Medicago truncatula: one gene and its partner. The protein of the gene in region 1 binds, or shares a complex with, the protein of each later gene. Links are inferred from orthologs where the notes say so. Each region holds a gene or a part of one and is shown on either strand. Other genes may lie near its edges.

Evidence for each region.
Region 2: the proteins of protein TOO MANY MOUTHS (region 1) and protein EPIDERMAL PATTERNING FACTOR 2 are in contact, whole or in part, in a crystal structure (PDB 5XKJ), measured with the Arabidopsis thaliana proteins. The link is inferred for Medicago truncatula from reciprocal best matches to the Arabidopsis thaliana genes TMM and EPF2. Residues at the interface, in NP_178125.1 of Arabidopsis thaliana: Trp73, Ile77, Pro78, Arg82, Gly83, Arg84, Trp85, His86, Gly87, Ile88, Glu89, Met91, Val101, Asp110, Asp111, Thr112, Ala113, Lys135; in NP_564442.1 of Arabidopsis thaliana: Asp75, Tyr78, Ala79, Gly81, Ile104, Arg106, Arg112, Tyr113, Tyr114, His115, Val116, Pro117, Ser118, Arg119.

Annotation. Positions count from the first base shown.
Region 1 is NC_053043.1:51,016,908-51,028,116, forward strand, and holds protein TOO MANY MOUTHS, read left to right. Parts: upstream 1-5,517; 5' UTR 5,518-5,547; coding exon 5,548-7,047; 3' UTR 7,048-7,212; downstream 7,213-11,209. UniProt on the Arabidopsis thaliana protein: Promotes cell fate progression in stomatal development. In leaves, needed to correctly orient spacing divisions, to limit the number of asymmetric divisions in neighbor cells, and to promote the asymmetric (amplifying) divisions of meristemoids.
Region 2 is NC_053043.1:34,360,958-34,372,322, forward strand, and holds protein EPIDERMAL PATTERNING FACTOR 2, read right to left. Parts: upstream 3,610-11,365; 5' UTR 3,506-3,609; coding exon 3,406-3,505; intron 3,184-3,405; coding exon 3,134-3,183; intron 3,030-3,133; coding exon 2,829-3,029; 3' UTR 2,676-2,828; downstream 1-2,675. Other genes in the region: uncharacterized protein, read left to right, coding at 7,118-7,348, 7,488-7,580; uncharacterized protein, read left to right, coding at 10,836-11,365. UniProt on the Arabidopsis thaliana protein: Controls stomatal patterning. Regulates the number of cells that enter, and remain in, the stomatal lineage by inhibiting protodermal cells from adopting the meristemoid mother cell (MMC) fate in a non-cell-autonomous manner.

The DNA of each region.
Region 1 (11,209 bases):
TTGCTATGTGCTAAACAGAGTACCCAAAACAAAGAACAAAATTTCTCCATATGAAATTTTGAAGAAAAGACAACCAAACTTGTCTTATTTTAGAACATGGGGCTGTCTAGCCTATGTAAGAAAACCAGACCCCAAAAGAGTCAAACTAGCAAGTAGAGCCTATGAATGTGCATTCATTGGGTATGCCTTAAATAGTAAAGCCTATAGGTTTTACGACCTGAAATCTAAAACGATCATAGAATCAAATGATGTTGACTTCTATGAAAATAAATTTCCCTTTAAGTCAGGAGACAGTGGGGGTAATAGTGGGGGCACCGATAACTCAGTTCTTGATCAACCTTCTGAAATCATAACAAGCAATGAAAACATCGAAAGAGATGTTATAGAACCTCGTAGAGGTAAGAGAGCAAGAATTGCTAAAGAATATGGCCCCGAATATGTGGCATATACAATAGAGGAGGATCCATCAAGCATCAAGGAAGCTCTGTCTTCAATTGACGCTGATTTATGGCAAGAAGCTATAAATGATGAAATGGATTCTCTAATGTCCAACGAAACTTGGCACCTAACTGACTTGCCTCCTGGATGTAAGACTATAGGTTGTAAGTGGATTTTGAAAAAGAAACTAAAACCTGATGGGTCAATCGACAAATATAAGGCACGCCTTGTAGCCAAAGGTTTTAGACAAAGAGAAAATGTAGATTTCTTTGACACATATTCACCTGTAACTAGAATCACTTCCATTAGGGTACTAATCTCATTGGCGGCTATCCACAATTTGATAGTACACCAAATGGATGTAAAAACTGTTTTTTTAAACGGTGAATTAGAAGAAGAAATCTACATGGACCAACCTGAAGGTTTCGTAATCCATGGACAAGAGAACAAAGTTTGTAAGTTAGACAAATCTTTGTATGGTCTAAAACAAGCACCGAAACAATGGCATGAGAAATTCGACAATCTTATGATTGAGAATGAGTTTAAGGTGAATGAAAGCGACAAGTGTATTTATTCCAAGTACGAAAATAACACTTGCACGATCATATGTCTATACGTAGACGACTTACTCATATTTGGTTCAAACCTCAATACCATTAAAGATGTGAAATCATTGTTGTGCCACAACTTTGATATGAAAGACCTAGGAAAGGCAGATGTAATTCTTGGAATCAAGATTACTAGAACTGATAATGGAATTTCCTTGAATCAATCTCACTACGTTGAGAAGATCTTAAGGAAATATAATTACTTCGATTGTAAACCTGCGAGCACACCTTGTGACCCAAGTGTGAAGCTATTTAAGAACACTGGAGATAGTGTTAGACAAACTGAATATGCGAGCATCATTGGCAGTCTCAGATATGCCACTGATTGTACTAGACCCGACATCGGCTACGCCGTGGGACTATTATGCAAGTTTACGAGCAGGCCAAGCATGGAGCATTGGCAAGCTATCGAAAGAGTCATGAGATACTTGAAGAAGACCATGACTCTAGGACTGCATTATCAGAGATATCCTGCAGTGCTTGAAGGATACAGTGACGCAGATTGGAACACCTTATCAGATGATTCCAAAGCGACCAGTGGCTATATATTTAGCATTGCTGGAGGAGCTGTTTCCTGGAAATCCAAGAAACAGACCATTCTGGCTCAGTCCACAATGGAATCTGAGATGATAGCACTAGCTGCTGCTAGTGAAGAAGCAAGTTGGCTAAGATGCTTGCTATCTGAAATCCCTTTGTGGGAGAGACCGTTACCAGCTGTGTTAATTCATTGTGATAGTACCGCGGCTATCGCAAAGATTGAGAATCGTTATTACAATGGTAAGAGACGACAGATAAGACGAAAACACAGCACGATAAGAGAATATCTTTCGAACGGAACGGTAAGAGTAGATTTCGTACGAACAAATGAAAACTTAGCTGATCCTTTGACGAAAGGACTAAACAGAGAGAAAGTCGCAAATACATCCAGTAGGATGGGACTAATGCCTATTGATCATAAGTGATGGAAACCCGACCTAAATGACTGGAGATCCCAAGAACTAGGTTCAATGGGTAATAACAAATCACAAGTGATAGAACATGCTATGAGAACGCATGATCCTGCAGTGACCGAAGGTTGAGATAATAGAAACTCTTAATGAGATCTATACTTCTTATGGAGTGAAGTACATAGCTACAGGAGTACTTCTGATAGACTCACCTATACGTATGTAGAACTGAGGCCGGTTCTTATGGAATTTCGAGGCAGAATTCCTAGAGCATTCGTTAAAACTGGGATAGACGTGCAAGGCCATTAACGCACGGGCTTTTTAGAAAACACCTAAGAAAAGGTTGTGTGTGGGTCCTATGTCTGAGATAGAGTTCAATGTTGTAAGCAACTCTTGTTAATCAGAATACTACTCACTATGCAAAGGTTCAAGTTGTTGGCGACACCTTTGTTTACTAGCAATCTTTAGGAAACGTTTAAAACGTAACTTTCGAAACCAATTTTGAATTCAAGTGGGGGATTGTTGGAACACTAGTGTATAATGAAAAAACTTGGAGTATACTAGTGAGTTTGTGGAGCCTTTGGCATGTAAACATAAGGATGGAGAAATTAGTGTAAAGTGTGAATTGAAAATTTTATGTCCCACATCGGGTAGATCACACACTCTAGTAGAAATCCTCCTTATAAATTGAGAGCTCGGGAATAGTATTCTTCACTCCAAAACTGAGAATCGAATACTCTTCTCCCCTTCTCATCTCCCGCGATTTGTGTTGACGAATCGTTCTTTTCCTCCTCCTCTTTCTGTGGGCTTCGGAAAATTGTGGGCTTCGGAAGAGTGGTCTAAGAACCATATTGTGGGATTCGGAAGAGTGGTCTAAGAACCATATTGTGGGTTTCGGAAGAGTGGTCTAAGTACCATATCGAGGTGTCATTCTCGAGCGATTTCTGGCAGTGCAGCCTTTAATCGTACAGTAAGAATCTGGGCTGTTTTATCCTGGAGACGGCGCGGTTGCTAGTCTACCTTGCACAATTCAGGTAGTGCCGCGAAACGTCTTAAAGAGAGCGACCTGGTCGTGACTCATCCCGGTAATAGTTTCAAAAGCTTCATCGTATATTTTCAAATTACAAAAAGTCAACAAGATATTATGTAATTTTCTGTGTCTTTCTTTGATATCAAGGGTCTCTGTTGACCGTTATATGAACCCCACACAAGCTGCAATGCATTGCAATTGCAGGGCTCCTATGAACGGTCAACAATGATCATGACACCATCGACACCCCTAAAAAACTAAAAAACATTTGAAGAAAATGTAAGAAAAGAGGTGATGTGAATAATGAAGGTATATCTTGAAGATGGAAGCTTATTTATAGCCTAAAACAAGTCCTAGGTCATTAATACAGTCAATGAAAACGTGTTAGTGGTTGTAACCGTCCAAACCCACATTAATGGCTCTGAATCTTTCCGGATTTTATATTTCGGAATGTCCTTAGCCCTACAGGAAGTGCCAACCTTTTCCTCGTTCACCACCATTATCGCATTAATCCGAAATGCATCTGTCATAGCCGGTGGTCTGCACCACACGTTTTTGTCGGTGGTCAAGTGAAAAAAAACGTGGTAAAACGCGTTTTTTGACTGCATTTATGGCCTCCCAACCGTTTTTGACACACCCCTCCCTATAAATAGTCTTCCAAACCCCACCATTTCTCACATCATCCTCTCCCACCCTCTCCTCGTCTTCTTCCTTCTACAACCATGGTTTTCCATCGTTGGTCTTTCATAGATAAGGGCCTCGTTGAAAACTTTCAGGGTTTGTATGAACGGTCAATGAGGATGGAACCGCGCTGCAGCAAATTGCAGTTCATCTGAGGGTCATGTGGGTCAGTGTGGTTCTTAGCTTGGCCTGTCTGGGCGTAAGTTTGAGCAGCCCCCCCCCCCCCTCCCATCTCCCTCAAGGGCATTGTTTTTTCTTCCCTCCTCCGGTTTTCCTCCAATAGGCAAACTACTGGTATGTCTCGTCACATACCAGTGGTGAGGCTCTTAGAATTAGTCTCATAGGAGATTAGAAATAGATTTAGGATCTTATGTAATAAGCTTGAAAAGGTTGAAAATTATTGTAATGTATTGTTCATATATTAATAAAATGAGTTGTTTTTATGTTTGTGTCTTTTTATTTCTGTTTTTTATTTTATTCGCATTTTATTTTACGAATTGTAAAGCTTAAAATTGCAGAACTTCTGGTAAAATATTATTCTGGATTTTCAAATCCGGAAACATCTGCAAAATTCGAACAATGCTTTCCGGAATACGAAATCTGAACGAGGGGTAAATTGGAAAGAAAAAAAAATTGGGCGTGCGAGGAAAGGTATAGGGTGGGAAAAATAATAGTCTAATTAAGATCAAGAATAAATTTTATTCTCTTTATTTCATCAAAAGAATGAATAAATGATCATAGGAATTAAGATTCTTTAAAAGGATTCAAATGCAAGGCAATCAAGATAAATTGCACATGGCCCATGAAACCTAGAAAGGAATAAAATCAGTAAAAGGCTTTCATGAATTTTCTACATGTAACATCCTGTTTTTCCAACATGCAAAATAATACATAATAATCAGAGTATTCAACTTAAACAGGATGTTATACTTCTTTAAAAGATCAATAGAATAAAATTACTATTTATTTAAACATCTTTTATCAATAATTTTCAAATTACATCTCAGCGAAAAAACATTTCATTATTCAACAAAATGACACTACGGCCTCAACATAAATAACTTCTTAAAAATTCCATTTCAAATGGTTCATCAACATAATTCATAATAATACGTAACAAATGGAAAATAATACAAATATTCTCATCCCGTTACATATCAGAGCGACCCTAAGACGACGTGTGAGAGAATCAACTCACATCAACAGCTAATTCTGGTTATCTGCACGTTACCCACGTAGAGGCAACATTCAAACAGAAGAGGTGAGATTTCACATTCAATAATAATAAACATATAATTCTATAAAAGAATTTAACAACACATAACAACATCTATTCATCATTAGTAATACTAATAAACAATAATTTAGATAAGAGAATTTATCAACATAAAACAACATTAATTTATTTTATTTTCCTCTTGTTTTCACATTATTTTCTTTCATCAATTCATTCATCATATTTACCAAACACTTTAAATTCAATTAACTAATATATCTACAATTCATTATTAATTTATCTACTATCTTCTGCAAAAGAACATCTCCTATCAAACTAGCTTATCTGCTTATTACTGCAACTAGTACAAGAGCCGTTGTCTTGTCTTCACCCAATTAACCTTTGAAAGTGTAAATCCCGTGAAACACATTAATGTGCAAATTCTGCCTCATTTACATTTATGACTATTCCATCATTTCTCGTGAACACAGTTACTCCAACCCAATGCACAACACCAACTCTCTCACCCCATTCATTTATTACAACACCCTCTATAAATACTAATAATATTGTCACATGATCAAATCACACACACAACACAACACACTTAAAAATTCAAAAAAAAATATGACTGGTAGCAATTGTCTCTTTACTCTACATCTGAATCAACATCAACAACTACTAGTAGTATGTTTTACTATATTGTTGTTTTTGTCGGATTTAGTAATGCCTTACACGGTTGAAATTTCTGATTCCAATAGCTCCACCGTGCCTTCAGGTTCCACACCACTAATAGATGGCATTTCACCTAAACAAGATAATGCAAGAACCGATCCCCGCGAGCAACATGCAGTTTACGACATCATGAGAGCCACTGGCAACGATTGGGCCACCGACATCCCTGACGTTTGTCGTGGTCGGTGGCATGGCATCGAATGCATGCCCGATAAAGACAATGTGTACCACATTGTCTCCCTCTCCTTCGGTGCTCTCTCAGACGACACGGCTTTTCCTACGTGCGATCCCACGAGTTCCACCATTTCACCCTCCATCCTAAACCTCCCTCATCTCAAAACCCTCTTCTTTTACCGTTGTTTTAGTTACAATCCTCACCCTATACCATCTTTCTTGGGCCGATTGGGCCCTTCATTGCAAACTCTAGTCTTAAGAGAAAATGGTCATATAGGCCGAATTCCTAATGAATTGGGTAATCTCACCTGTCTTAAGGTCCTTGATCTTCATAAAAACAATCTCAATGGTTCCATACCGGTTTCATTGAACCGGATAACCGGTCTAAAGTCGTTGGACTTGAGTGTTAACAAGTTAACTGGTCCCATACCCAACCTGACTTTCTTGAACTTAAATGTATTGGACTTGAACCAGAATCGTCTAACAGATTCAATCCCTTCTACTCTTTGGGAATGTCAATCTCTTATTAAATTGGACTTGAGTCGAAACAGGCTCTCAGGCCCAATTCCAGATAAACTAATGGGCCTAAAAGACCTTATGCTTATGGACTTGAGTTTCAACTGTATTCAAGGCCCGTTTCCAAAGTCCCTAAAAAGCCTGAGTTCTCTTCAGGCCTTGATGCTCAAAGGAAACCCAATGGGCTCAACAATATTACCCAACAATGGGTTCGACGGCATGAAAGATTTAACGATTTTAGTTATGTCGAATATGAATTTGCTCGGCCCAATACCGGAATCGTTAGGTAAATTACCAAACCTTCGCGTACTTCACCTTGATGGGAACCACTTCAATGGTTCGATCCCGAAAAGCTTTCGAGATTTGAGAAGCTTGAGTGAACTGAGGCTGAATGATAATGGGCTAACTGGACCTGTTCCATTTGAAAGGGAAATGGTTTGGAGGATGAAAAGAAAGTTAAGGCTTAATAACAATTCAGGGCTTTGTTATGATGCAAGTAGTGGTCTTGGAGATAGTGTGGACTCTGATCTTGGTATTGGTTTGTGTGAGAGTTCAAGTCCAGGTTCGGTTAGGACAGTGCAACATGTTTCAGACAGGGAAAAGCCTGCATTATTAGATTATGTTCCAATCTCATCGGATGCTACACTTACAAGGTCATTGAGACTAGTTACTTTTGTACTCTTTGCTTTAATTTTCTTGTAAGTAAAGTATATTCATTATAATAGCATAGGAAAAGAATCTAAGAAAGACCTTGTAATGTTAATTATTAGCAATATCAGTGTTTTAGATACAATAATGTCTCATAAATAAGATGATTACTAGTTGTACTCTATGATATAATTATGTGCAGGGATTACTTGTTCTAAATTTTGGCATCTTTTATTCTTCTTGTTGTTCTGCTAATTTTGGCATTTCTTGTGCCAATTAAATTTCTAATTTTAATATAGTTTGGCTCTTAAAAATAAGGTATTGTTTCTCACTAAAAAATGACCATAAATATCTTTTAAATTGAACTTTCATGCTGATTTTAATGAAAAATAGATTGTAAGAATATTTTGTTCTTAGAAAAGACAAAGCATAGCAACTAGTATCTACACTATCATAGTATCATATGGGTGATATAGCTGCCCTTTCATTGCACCATGCATCACAATTATGTATCAATCCAAATCTGCAATTACTATCAATTTAGGGTGCACATGCATAGAAAGATATGTCGGCTGATGTTTGAATTTTCATACTGCGTTGTAATTAGAAAAAATTCATTCTCAACAAACTTCAATCTTCCTTGAAAAATTCATAATTTATGCTCCTTTTTCTTCTTTTTGGGGCTCCAAGTGTTTGTAATCTTCAATTATACTGCAAATCTTTTGAAAAGTGACTGAAATCCAGGCTATAGTCACTTGTTGTCTCTTATATAAAAATTTATTGAACGGTGTAATATTATCCAAGTGTATATACTAATGTAATTTGATATATATTTGGATAGTGCTGCACTAATTATGAAGTTTTTATCAAATATTAATTAATAAACCAAAATCCTTGTTAGATTGAGAGCTTATTTAACTAGGCTTAAGTTGAGTCAAGCAAGTTGGGCTCATATAATAAGATAAGATGGATTGTCAATTTAGTCTCTAAATTTGAACTTTTTCTCCGATATAGTACTTCTTAAGATATATTAATATAATGACTAGTTTTTAAAGTCTATGCAATTTGCATAGACATACTTAGCATGGAGATAGATCCACCAAATTGCATAGACAATGGGGAAATTTGCCCATGCTTTAATTGATTTGATGGTAGAGTTCGTTTCTCGCTTTCCAAATAAAAGATCGTTTTTAATTACATAGAAAAATATGTATTTATAAGTTTAATAGATATTTGATTTGCATTTTTAAGGTTCTCTAAACAATTTCTTTAGAGCAATCGTTAATAATATAATCCGTAATATATTTTTTAAAGCATCTTCATTTTAACTAAGATCATTTTTGAATCGCTTCAATATTAATGAAATAATTGGTTTATCGATAGTGTTAATGGTATATAGTACTATAAGCAAGACAGAATCCTTGGGTATAATTATAAAACAACTATCCATAAATCTTATCTCAACTGATAAAATGTCGAAATTGTTAGGTTGGATGTCATGATCGGGGTTCGAACCCCGATACTTCCACATGATTTTATAATGGTTTTATCATTTCGTCCATCTAAAAAAAATTATAAAACAACTCATAATTTATTTCAGCATGTCTTAGAGGACAACCACTTCCTACCCTGATATCAATCATGCACTCATCATAGCCTTACCTAATAAGGAAAATTATATTGTATTGTACTAATGTTTATATTAGTATATTTATATACGATACATTCACACCTGCCATTCAACAAGACCCACAAAAACAAGTCTAATTATTTTCCCAATCTCATGAAACCCAGCTAAATTTTTAAATATTAAGAAATTTTTTATGCATCTCTTTTATCAATTTAATTAAGGGGAAAAAGAACATATTACCATCTTTTTTTAGTTAGAGGTGTATTGGATCATGATTCTAAGGGATTTTAAAAGACTTTTTTATCATGAAAAAGTCTTGTGGTATTCAATCAAAACTCTTTCCAATTTAAAAAAAGTCTTGTGTTATTCAATCAAGATTCTTTGTCATTTAAAAAAAGTCTTGTGGTATTCAATCGAGACTCTTAATCACTTAAAAAAAGTCTAGTGGTATTCAAAATCATTCAAATTTCGAAAGATTGTTTAATAAATAAGATTTTGATGGATTTTGTGGGATTTTCTAGTGAAATTTTAGCATTTTCATGAAAACATGAGATTTCTTAGGATTGTTTTTTTCTTTTAAAATTTTACTATCTCTCTCCTCCCTTCTCTCTTACTCTCTCTTTTCCTCTCCTCTCCTCTCTCTCTCTCTCTCTCTCTCCCCTTCCTTCTCTCTCTCTCTCTCTCTCTCTCTCTCTCTCTCTCTCTCGTAAAAAACCTCTCTCTAGCTCTCCCGTAAAAAATCTCTCTCTCTCGGATTCCTTCACTCTCTCTCTCTAGCTCTAGCTCTCCCGTAAAAAATAAAATAAAATAAATTAAAGAGTCTTTATTGAGATTTTGTAGCTCTAACTCTCCCGTAAAAAATAAAAAAAGATAAATAAAAGAGTATTTATTGAGATTTTGTGAAAGAAAGTGTGTTATGATATTTTTTTCAATTATTTCTTAAAATTTATAAAATCAGTTGAAATCTGTTGAAATCCATAAAATCATTTCAAATCCTTTAAAATCTTATGAATTAAATCCATTGAAATCCTTAATAGTCTTTTAAAATCATCAAAGTCATCAAAATCTTGCAAAATCTTTTAAAATCCTCAAGACTTTTTTAAACAAAAATTGTCTTTTAAAATCCTAATTCAATACACCCCCTTAATTTTCCCCCTTTCTTTATAGACAAGCAAGCAGAAATTCCATCTTTCCACACTTGTTTGATATAAAAATAAAATATCAAATAATTAATAGGAATAAAACACATGCATTTTGCTGTTTGGAAGATAACTTAAAATATGTCATTTTGCCCCATTACCTATTTGCAAGTCATTGCCTTGATAGCAACTGATTTGTTAGCTATCTTCAATTTTATTTTTGGTATGAGGAAGGCCTACCACTGCCTTATTAAAAAATTAATTACCTTTAATAAAGTTAAACTAAGCAACCGTTAGAAAAAAGTTGAGGTCCTTGTAGCTTGTGATAGAAAATGTTCACAAGTGTTATTCAACCTCTATCTTTTTTCTATAAGTTATTCAACCTCTATCTGTTGGGCCAAAAAATATGTTTTGTTAATTTTTTTCTATACACTGCCAAAACTTTCTGTCTCTTTATGCTTACGCATCTAAACGAAAGTGCAAAACAAAGACAATTCTGGATTATTTGTACCTATCGATAGTGGAGTGAAGATAAGTACTGTCCATCTCTAGTAATAATTCATTTTTTTAAAGTAAATTTTTACTTAAGAGCAAACTAGCACAAGATATGCAAAGTCATGGCCAATTCAATAATTTTCAATAGCAATTGAGACGTAAACAAGTTTTAATATATGAGGCTGTTTTTGACGGGAAAAACATTTTGTTGGTAGAACTAAGGAGAGGGTTTTAGTAGCTTTACTCATAGACAACTCTTTCCAAAGCCGCTCCAAATCCAACAAACAATTAAAAGAGTATAATCAACATTTAAACAAAACATCAACATGCAAATTGAAAAGATTGGAAAGAAGATTATTCCATGAAATTATTCAAGGGAAAAAGTTATCGTTTAGTGGTTAATAATTGATGTTCAATCATTAGTTTGGTCCAAAATTACTCATCTAAATCATTTTTTTCTTCTCCTATTCAAATAAGTGGTATTTTAGTACATAGATTCCGTTTTTGTATTATGTTTTGTTTGTGATTTCGTCGTTTGAGTGATAAAATGTTGTTGTTCGCGTTTTGGTGTGTAGTTTTGATTTCTCATCTTATTGTTATGTTCGTTTCATTCAGATTGACAAAAAAAATTAGTTTGATGTTCATTACAGATTCGAACAATGATTTCGACATCTTCAATATTACAAAACCGGAGACATGGTATTCCGAATGCCTTTATTTTGTCACATTTGTAAACATTTTGTCACATTTTATTATGAACTTGAGTGTTGTGAGTTTGTTATAATTTCTTTTTTTTTTTTTAACGACTTTGACATTTGTATTGTTCTCAATCGAATTATGCAATTTCTACCGATTTGAATGAATATTACTTTTATTAACAAAAAGGTGAACAAAGAATAACTAAAATTCACATATAGGAAAGAAAGAGGGGGTAATTGATGAAATAAAAAAT
Region 2 (11,365 bases), about 17 Mb from region 1:
AACCTCCACCCCCAACAAAAACATAGTCCTAACCGTGATTACTTTGTTGACGGCCAAATCATATAGCCGTCTAAAGCGCTCACGAAACAGAACATCACCACACCGACAATCCCGCCAAAAATCAGTATCGGAACCATCCCCCACCCTCCTCCTAACACAAACCGAAAACCAACCCTCCCCACCCTCGTCTATCCCATCTCTAATCCTCACTATCTCCCTCCACCAAGAAGAACAACTCCGGCCCCCATCCTCCAAACCTCCATCCGCCACACCATACCTAGCCCTCAACACCTTACGCCATAACCCTTCCCTCTCCACTAACAAACGCCAACACCATTTTCCTAACAGGGCTAAATTAAACTCTCTCAACCTCCTTACACCCAACCCTCCATACTCCTTTTTTAGACTCAAAGAATTCCAACCAATCCAAACTATTTTTCTTTTATCCTCACTACCCCCCCCCAAAAAAAAAAAATTTAATTAACAGAGATTCAATGGAAGAGATTATACCTGACGAAACTTTGAAAAAGGAAAGTGCATAGACATGAAGAGCAGTCAGGACGGACTTGAGAAGGATTAGGCGACCACCAAAAGAGAGAAACCGACTACGACAACCAGACAGTCTAGATTTAATTCGATTAACAACAGGTTTCCAAAATAATAACCGACGAGAGTCACCCCCAATCGGAAGGCCCAAATAGAGAAACGACACTGTACCCAATTTACAACCCAACACTAAAGCCGCTTCAGTCAACCAAGAAGCATTAATATTAACCCCTATCAACGAACTTTTATGATAGTTAACTTTCAAACCTGACATAGCCTCAAACAAGACGAGAGCAGCCCTCAAAGCACGAACATTAGCCCAACTTTTCTTCCCAATAAGAAGCGTATATATCACATTTCTAACGAAAGTAAATTTTAGCCATATCATCGAAGATACATGAGAAAGAACCATATTGCTCTAAGAATCTATTATTTTTAATGAAACATTTCTTCTTTTGAATGCTTTCCACTCCCTTCCGTCCCTCTTTTGTTTGGTTTTAGAACATAGTCACATAATTCGTTATAGCGATTATTTTAGTGTAGCGGTCATCGCATTTCGGCTTCTCTTCCGTTCCTCTGTCTCAGACTCTTACCCTAAACTTTAAGGCAAAGTGTTTATGAGTCCTCTTACTTATAAAGTGTTCAACCTTTACTTTTCTATCCGATGTGAGACATCATGCTAGAACAACCCCACAAGAGAGAGACACCACACTCTTACCCAAAACCTTAAGGCAATGAGTTTATGGGTCCTCTTACTTATAAGATGTTCAACCTTTACTTTTCTATCCGATGTGGGACATATAAGTCACACTGGCACACAACAACATTTTTATGTCTGTGTAAATTATATAAGCTGTATAAAATTTCAAAATAGCGGCCATTGTGCTACATACTATTTCGCTATAGCATTTTTGGAGTCTGCCGCTATGCTTCACTATCTGGGATTAATAATGGTGGTTTACATATGAATGATGTCTATATATACCAATCGAATTTCTCTCAAGATGCTTATGAAACATATTTTACTACGTTTTAAACCAACCCCAAAATGGATGAATTTTTCTTCTGGGTTTTCTTCTTGTGAACTGTAAAGAACTTCTTAAAGTAATTAGAGGCCTATAAGGGGGAAAACATTGTACAGAAAAATATCATCTGATTAATTTGCTTGAAATTAGTTACATTATTTTTTCTTGAATATCATGAAGCTTTCTAGCACTACTAAAAAATATTTTATTTTACTATTAGTAGTATGTAATTTCATAGGAATTGAAGCCACTAAGCCACTTTATGACTTTTCTTGTGTTGAAAATCTGAGAAGGTATGAAACCAGACATGGAATAGAAACAGGTTTGCTTCCATGAATCAAGTTTCTCAGAAGATTGGAGAACTTTGATGTTACAATATTTGAAGATGTTATGAAATGTCTAACTACTTATACCAACTGCTTAACTATAGCTTTTCTCCATAATCCAAATAATACACTCATTCTCATTTTAAATTTGTGTGATAAAATAAGTTTAATTAAGGACAGTCTTGGTCCCTTTGTTCAGATTTTTGAACTGTAATTTAATATAAGCTTAATTTTCTGTCTCCCTATTTTAACCTACTCACATAAATGGTCCCTCCATTTTAAAATCACACATTTTTCATCCTTTTTTTCACTTCAGTTTTTAAACTTAAAAATGGTGATATATCATATTTTAATTGAAGTTTTAGAGTTTTATTTTTGTAACTTTGTGGTTATTAAGTATTCCACATCATCAGATTGCATGACATACAATTTAAAATATGTCACCTCACCATTTATGAGTCAAAAAAATTATGAGACTCATCACAACACACACTCGCAACTAACACCTTGAGTGTGACTCGAGTGACTTGATGAATCTAGAAAAAGACTTGAACACTATCTTAAAATTTGAATCGAGTTTGTGACAAGTGTTCATCATTTATAACCACATTTTAGGCCATATTTTTATCTAGTGATACACTCAAGAATGTTTAAGACAATAACCTTGCATGGGTAGTTTTTACTTTTCATGTAAATAACTCTCATATGATGTTCATTTTTCAGTTATTTAAAGACAGTCAAGTCAAGACACACAAGCAAGCAACAAAAGATGGAGTCATGATAAAAAAGTTTCCCTTTGTTTAAACAACAATGCCTAACAAATCTAAGTAGCTCCAAATGGTAAAAATACCCAAACTTCATCATCACCTTCAGAATAACAACAATGCTCCTAAACTTCTAACAAAAATTAATAACTATGATCATCGATCGATCAATTCGAGGGAACATGGTAGTATTTTCCTTTACAAATACATCTGTAAACCATAGGACAAGACTCTGCCATAGAACATTTGTTGTAACCTACCATGACTCTCTTGCAGGGTGAACATGGTCCACATGCATGGGAACAATCTGGTATGGTGGAACCGGTTGGATAGAGTTCCATTACATTGCTACCTTCTCTTGCTCCTTCCTACAAAATCACAAATATGTGAATCACAATTGATCATTCACTTCTTGACACAAGTGAAGTGAGTAACTATACATTATACAATGTTGAAACTAAATGTGTCAAACCTTTTTGTCTATAATTGTTGTTCTCTCTTCTTGTAAGTGCATTACCTTATCTGGAACATGAGAATAAAAACGAATGTGAAATACTCAAGGCAATAACATAGATACTTACATCATTACATGATACTAGAACACTTATGCATGAGGTAACTACGAGAAAAACAATATCAAATTCATGTGTTACTTTCAAAATTACGTAAAGGGTCATGTTAACTGGTTCCCCGGGGGCAACGGTTAAGGAAGCCAAAATATAAAATGTAAAACATGTCACGTACCATGATTTGGGATCACTCTAAGGCACCAACCAATAGAAAATACCGTGAAGAAAATAACAACTAGGAAAGATTTGTGGGCTCTAAGAGAGTAAGTGCTCATATTTGTAGGAACTACAAACTCAAGTGTAGCATAAAATCAATTTTCATTAGTAGAGAAAAAATGTAAGCTAGCTAGCAAATGTAGGGGGTACTATACTATACCATACAAAGAGGGGCCTATTAATATATGCACGAATATGCAAAGGGATATTAAATGTGCAACAAGATTCATATCTGCCATATCTCACATGATCCACGACCTTCTATTAAATACTTCACAAGTTTTGGTTTATCCGAGAAATAAATATAAAACAAAAAATTATCAGTATGGTCAGAAACTATAAATATAAATAAAGAGAACATTTAATTTGAATAATAATTCCAAACCGTTTGGATACAAATTGGAATGTGGGGTTTGATTTATCAAAGGAAAGGGAAATATTATTGTTTGAATGATGGAATTAATTTCAACATGCTGGACAAGTGAAAATGACTGACAAACCTTCTTTAACAGCGGTTGCTATCTTAATATTTAATTTGTCATAAATTCAACAAATTTCAAAATTTTGTAGAGTATTGGAGGAAATATGTTGCATGTGTCAGAGGACCATATCTAGAGCAAATCGAGTGATATTAAGGCCAACTGAAAGCTAGCAGTATCCACAGCTACATTGGTAAGCACTTTGGCTTAATTCAAATGTTAAATAGGTCAAAATTTAAGGGATTAATTTAGGTATTAGTTTTTGTTAATGACTGAAATGGACCAGAAAGAGGGAGCAAATTGGTATATATATATATATATATATATTTATAATGAGCAAATTAGTCGTTAGTCTTGTATTGATGACAAAATGATACGAATAAAAAAATTGAATAAGATTGATTACAATAAGGTTTTAAGCCCATATCTCTAATTGGTTGTATGTATAAATTTTTGGCGAATGTGTTGGCCAACAGACCGAGAAATCTAAGGTTAGATTTTTCTTTTCTTCTGTGGATGGTATTGCCATTGATAATAAGGTGTTGATGATGCCAAGAAATAAAAAAAAGAGTTCATTTTGTTCAAAGTTGACTTCAAAAAGGCCTATGACTCTAGAATTGGAGTATCTGGAAGTGGTTATGGTTAAGATAGATTTCTTGTGTATATGGTGTAAGTAGATCATGTAATGTGTGAAATCAGTGACAATTCCATTTTAGTTAATGCAGTCCCACCGACGAGTTTAAGATGGATAGAGGGTTACACCAAGACGATCTCCTTTCACCGTTTTTTTTTTCTTCTTATTGCAGCTGAAGGTTTGAATGTGATGTTAAATTCCTACGTGAATGTGGGTCTTTTTATTGGTTATGTCATTGGTGAAGATTCCAATTTTTGATTTTATCATCTTCAATTTGCTGATGATATGTTGCTTTTAGGGGAGAAAAGTTAGGAAATATCCGAGCTTTAAAGGAAAATTTAATTCTTTTTGAGCTCGTACTTGGTTCAAAAGTGAATTTTCATAAGCGCTTTCTGATAGGTGTTAATGTTGAGGAATCATGACCAGCGTGGAAGCCACTGTTGTTTTAAAATATAAAATTGAGTGGATATCATTTGTTTATTTGGGCTTACTATTGGTGGCAACCCTCACCCCTTGTCTTTTTGCCATCGTTTGTTTGACAACATTCGAAAAAGAATATATTGGTGGAAAAGTAAAAACCTATCTACGGGCGATCGACTTGCTCTTATGAAACATGTCTTGTCGTCATTACCAATTTACTTTCTTTACTTGAATCCCATTTAAAACTATTTTTATGTGGGCGGGGGGTTAGTAAGGTTGCTCGCAAAATTCACCAGATAAAATGGGATAAAGTTTGTTCTATCCTGGAGTTTGAAGGTTTTAAGGGGGTGGTTCAAAGGTGGAGAGTGGGTAATGGCAAGAATTCTTCTTTTTCGAATGATCCCTTGTTGAAAGGTGGTCCTTTACGATACAAGTTCAACCACTTTTTTTATCTTCATGTTGATAGTAATATAACAGTGGCTGAGATGAGGAAGTTAGGTTGGGGGTTGATGGAAATAAGTGGAAGTGGATGAGGAGACTATTTACTTGGGAGGAGGAGCATGTGTTGGAGGGTTACTCTTTGTTAATAATATTGTTTTTTCAGGGTAATATTGTAGATACAAGCACTAGGATATACAACCCAGCTGAAGGCTATTTGTTGAAATTTGGCTTCAAATTTGTGGTTTGGAAAAACAGAGAAATCGTGACACGATTTTGTAATGCCGTGAGCTGGTTTGCAGGGTGTCAAATCGTGGCACAATTTTGTGAAATCGTGACACGATTTTCAAACTTGCTGGTTAAGTTTTCAGGATAAGGTTGGTCGTACCTTGGGTCGTACGCATCAATCGTGGCACGATTTGGAAAACGTGGCACGATTTTATCAACTGAAGACTGCTATATAAGTGTTCTTGTGTAGATTTTGAAGAAGAGCTTGAAGAGAGAGAAACTTGGATTACAAAGGAGGTAACTTTAGGGTTGAGTGTCTTTATAGTGAGGATCTCTTGGGTTGGGAAACATTGTAAACATCTTGGGTAGTGAGATTTCACCATTGGAAGGATCAAAAGCTTCCTTTTGTGTCTTCTCTTTAGGGGTCATTATTGAGAGAGTGGGAAACACAAATGGGTAGAAATTAGATCTTGTTCTTGTGTAAGCTTGCAAGCTATTTTCTTGTAACTCTTTGTAACACTTTCATCATAGTGGATTGGAGAGCTGCTCTCTCCCCCAAATTAGGTCATATTGGACCGAACTGGGTCAACAATCTTTTGGTGTGTTTGTTTCTTCTTTCATTGCTTATCTTTGTTCTTTGTATATGCTTGTGGTGTTGCTCTACACTAGACTAGGTCTGTTTTTTTGTTATTGTTGCTTGGAGACACTTTACACATTGATTATTACTTCCTTTGCTCCACACATCTTTGTTTTTCATTGGTGTGATTATCAACCGGAACTCACAACACTATTCAGTTAAAGGAGTCTATCAGCTGTTAACACACGATGACCAACAATCTAAGGAGCCCATTACAAATAGAATTTGGGAAAAGTTTTGCTTTTCATGTTGCGACTGTTGAACAAAAGTATTTCGATAAGGAATAATTCTTATTCTTGTTGCCGTTTTTATTACATGTCTTAAGCCCCTGTTTGGATCTGCGTTTGAGAAGCACAAACGCACGATTAGCACATCAAACGTGATTTTATGGTATGAATAGGATGTTTGGCATCCAATTGAAAACGTGCTTTTTTCCCTTTAAACTTGATTCTAGATGAAGCTGCTTTATGTAGCAGTTTTGCGTCTGCTTAAATTGATTTTGCATAAAGTATATATTTGTTTCCAGCTTTACCCTTAATTGTTGGGTGGTTATAGGTAGACCACTTTATGTGGCAATCCCACCTTATACACCTCTTGTGGCACAATTTAACTTAAAATAATAAAAAATGAATTCTCTCTCTTGACTGCCTTTCCCCTTCTCTTTCTTCTCCCTCTCTCTTTACCACCACCACAGACCACAACTGACAAAAAACCGACGCCGGCGCCGGAACTAATAAAACTCATATCCTGCCGTCACCTCCGCCGACCGTGGTTCCTCCTTCCTTCACCGGCCGTGGCACCTCTTCTCCACACAAAAAAAAGGACATAAAAAATTATGCAAATTTCTCCTTTCGATTGCCAAGAAGTAGATGCTTCATCTCTTGGATGGGCTATGTCAGCAGTTTCATCTAGAGCATTCAAGTTACATGGTAACAAGCAATCGAATGGGGTAAACTTTGACATTCCCATGATGCTCCCTCTAATTGACATGTGTAATCATAGTTTCAATCCAAATGTTAGAATTGTTCAGGAACAAGAAACTGGTAGCACAAAGATGTGGGTGAAGGCATGTTATTTCATACTCTTTCCTTCATGACTCCTATCCCAGACACATACACTCACACGTCAAATTCTGAGGAATTTTCTTTTCAGAAACAACTATACTTTTGATTTTTCTTTGCTGAGGAATTCAATCTTTGCCATAGGTTGTGGCTGAGAAAGCAATCAAGGAAGACGACCCTTTATTACTTTGCTATGGATGTTTAAGCAATGATCTTTTCCTTCTTGATTATGGATAGGAGAAAACAAAGATACCCTTGGAAAACGAGCAGTATCACCAGAGATGGAAGTGCGGCGGATGATTTGAGATGAAAGGGGAAGTTTGAGAGAGGGGATGGTCTCTGAATGAATCAGAAAAACAAAATAAAAAAATGGGTAAATTTACAAAAATGTCCCTGCCACATGGGATGGTACAAGAGTGGTACAAAAAAGAGATGTCTACCAATATTTACTCTAATTGTTCTACTGTATTTTCAATGGTTGCTTGCTACAATTTCCCTTATCGGCTTCTTATTGTATTGGTGCAGAAAAAAGATGTTCCAAAATTAGTCCCATTGTGTTGCCAATATTTTATTTAATATATTACTAGCATTAAAAAAAATCAAAGATTATCAAACAAATATATATATACACTACCAAAAAAAAACAAATATATATATATATAGATATAGAGAGAGAAAAAATTTAAAACTCTATATATATTCACACAAAAAAAAAGACTGATTAGAACGATGATGGTGGTTTTTCATTTCATTATCATGCTTATATTTTACGGTGCTTATAGTTTACTGTATTTAAAAACAACTCTTGTAAATTAATATTTTAAAGTGAATTTAAATACAACAAAAAGGATAAGTTCCTTAAAAAAAAAAAAAGGATAAGTTGGTCATTATACATTTAAAATTAATTTTGATTCAAACTATTCAAACAACATCAACTCATAAGAATCACTTCTATGTGAGAGTATCCAAATATAAATCAATTCACATCCAACTCACTTTTAAGCAAAATCAATTCTCTCAAACTCAATTGTATTAAAATTAATTCTCTCCACCGCCCACCCAAACACACACTTTGTTGTCTTATGATGGATATGGAAATGAGGAACCGATCAATCATATTTTTCTGAAAATTGGTTGGTAACTGAAGGTTCTTTGGTCTACCCTTTTTTTTTTTTTTTTTGCAAAAATAAACAATATTCATTCATTCAAATTGATAGAGTACATCGATACAATACAAATCCAAATTCGATAAAAACAAAAAGGATAAATTTGTGAACAAACTCACAACATCCATGGTAATAACATAAAATGACAAAGTACCGATGCCTACAAATATGACTAATATGACTATATTCATGTCTCCGGATCTGCAACGTTGACGACGCGAAAGTTATTGTCATTGATCGGATCTGCTCTTGCTCAAAACTAATCTTTCAACCTGAATCAAATAAACACCGCACTAAGACGGGAAATAAAAAACACACCGCACAAAGAAGGGAAATCAAAAGAAACAGAGTCGTTCAGAGACGAAGAAATCACAAAAACAAACGAAAGAAAACAGAAAATATGTAAAATCACATATTCAATTAAATTATGATAGAAGGAAAAACAATTCGGATGAGTGATTTTTGGGTCAAAATTGACCCTAAATCACCCATCTGAAAGAAGAAGAAGAAGAACGAGTGTGACAGTTAGGGTTTGAGAGAGAGGAAGAATGGAGAAATTTAGAGTGACGTGATGGTGTAGTATTCTACCCTTTTATTTTTAATTTTTTTTTTATATATTCACTCTTGGTGGATATATTTGTCTGCTTGTATTGGGTTCTCCACCTTTGGTGTGTTTACCAATTTTTGGCTTTGATGGTGTGGACTTTTATGTTTGTGTGACATTGTTTTAAGTTCTTGATAGACATATCTTCGGTGTGTTTGGACGGAGAGTTTAAGAGAGAGTTTATTTTTCATTTCACTACTAAAAAAATAAAAATTAGTGAGGGAAATTTTGTGAGGGAAAACGTGAAATCCCTCTCTAATTCCGTCACTAAATTTTGTGACCATGAAATTTGTGAGGAATTTCATTTTTTCCATCACTAATTTCCCTTGCTAATTTTACTTTTTCTAGTAATGTTTTTAAATTATGAACACTATGAAATATTTTTTAAAAAGTTAATATAATAACATGATAAACGATCATGTAATATTTCAATCACATGTAATTTATTTTAGAAAAACATGTTATATAGTCAATAATTTAAAAAAGAAAAGTAAACTCCATTCTCCTCCTATTGTTAAAAAAAAAAAAACTCCATTCTCCTTCTAAACCCTCAAACACACCCTTGTGCTAAAAAGCGTTGTTTGATGAGCTGCGTAGTGTTTGATGAGCCTATGCTTTTTTGGACTTTGCTTAATATATTTTTGGCTTCTTAAAAAGTTTTGAAAAAAAGATTTATTGAAGAAATGTGGAAAATGCAATTTGACCAGAAGTCAAAGATTATGATTATAAAAAAACACAAGTCAAATAAAAACTAAAACCCGTTCATTATTCTTTTTGTTTAGGTGAAATAAGTATTCTTCTTTTAACTATTCAAAAAAAGTATTCTTCTTTTAATGGTTGTCTGTGTTATTTTTTTAATACTTGAATTATATAATACTTTTATTAAATTTTATCTATTTTTTTGAGAGGTTGACTTTTTTCTATTGTAAATAACATTCTCTACAAACTTAATTACCAATTTTTTGAGATAATAATATTAGCAATCAATATCTAGATCAGCCAAGTGGTATATATTTGTGTCCCTTAACTATTTTATTCAACATTCAATATTTTACTTTTTTGACGCATGATCTCGTGTTTGATCTTTGTCTAATGCATATGAAAAAATATTTGTCAGAAGATGTCAACTCTTTAAATGATTTTCATATACCTTAAGAAGAATATTAATTTTTGCATTTGCTAACAGATGATACCTTTAGTTTAAAAAAAATCAATGTAACAAAATCAAGTCATTTGCACTCAAAAGATTAATGAATTTTAGTCAAAGACAAACCGTTCGTAGAACACAACTTTGAATATTGGTTTAAACAATTCTCAACCAAAGGTAAGTAAAAAAATCCTTTATTGAAAAATCTACAAAAATAAAAGGACATTTATATCTCTTATTGTCTCAATAATTTTTTTAATGATATTCCTTTATTAAAATATATATTCTATAAATAAGAAAATGTAAATATTTTATTTAAAAATTAAAATTTTGAATAATTAATATTTTTAATAACTATTTGGTAATAAAAAAGAAATTAATATTTTTTGTATTACATTCAAACAAACAGGTCCCTTTGAAATATTATTAACAACATTGTCTAAAAAATATTGTATTTAAAATCCCTTATTGACCAACAAAAGTTGATATGCACCAAAAATAAGAGTATATAGGACCCCCACCATGTATGCAATATTTGCATCAACCACTTTGAATTTTACAATTATACAATAACTATGGCATTTTTTCTAGACAAGCAAAGAGAAATGCTGCTGCTTCTTCTTCTTCTTCTTATGCTTCTCATTTTATCTCCACCATTGATTCAAGCAGATCTGAATTTAATAAAAACCTTATGCCGTAATTCGGACACCCCTGCAACATGTATGAAATGTGTCACGTCTTCAGAAAATGCTTTGGTACTGAACAGTGTTGGCATAGCCACAAGCCTTGTCGATTGCACCGATGATCAAGCAAAGATCTTAGGAGCAAGCATGGAAGAGTTGGCTACAAATTCATCTAATGACACTAGAAAACCAATTTATCAAACATGCGCGAATGATTATCGGCGTAATATTCCTCCTTTCTTAGTTTCAGCAAAATTTTCTTTGCGGGAACATAACTATGAAGCTGCTGAATATTATGTTCTTAAAGCTCGAAGGCTTGATCTTTATTGTCATCGTGATATTGAGAGCTACAAAGATGAAGTTCAAGATGAAGTTTATTTTAACATGACTAGGTTTGAGGAGTTTGCTGATTCTGCTTGTAG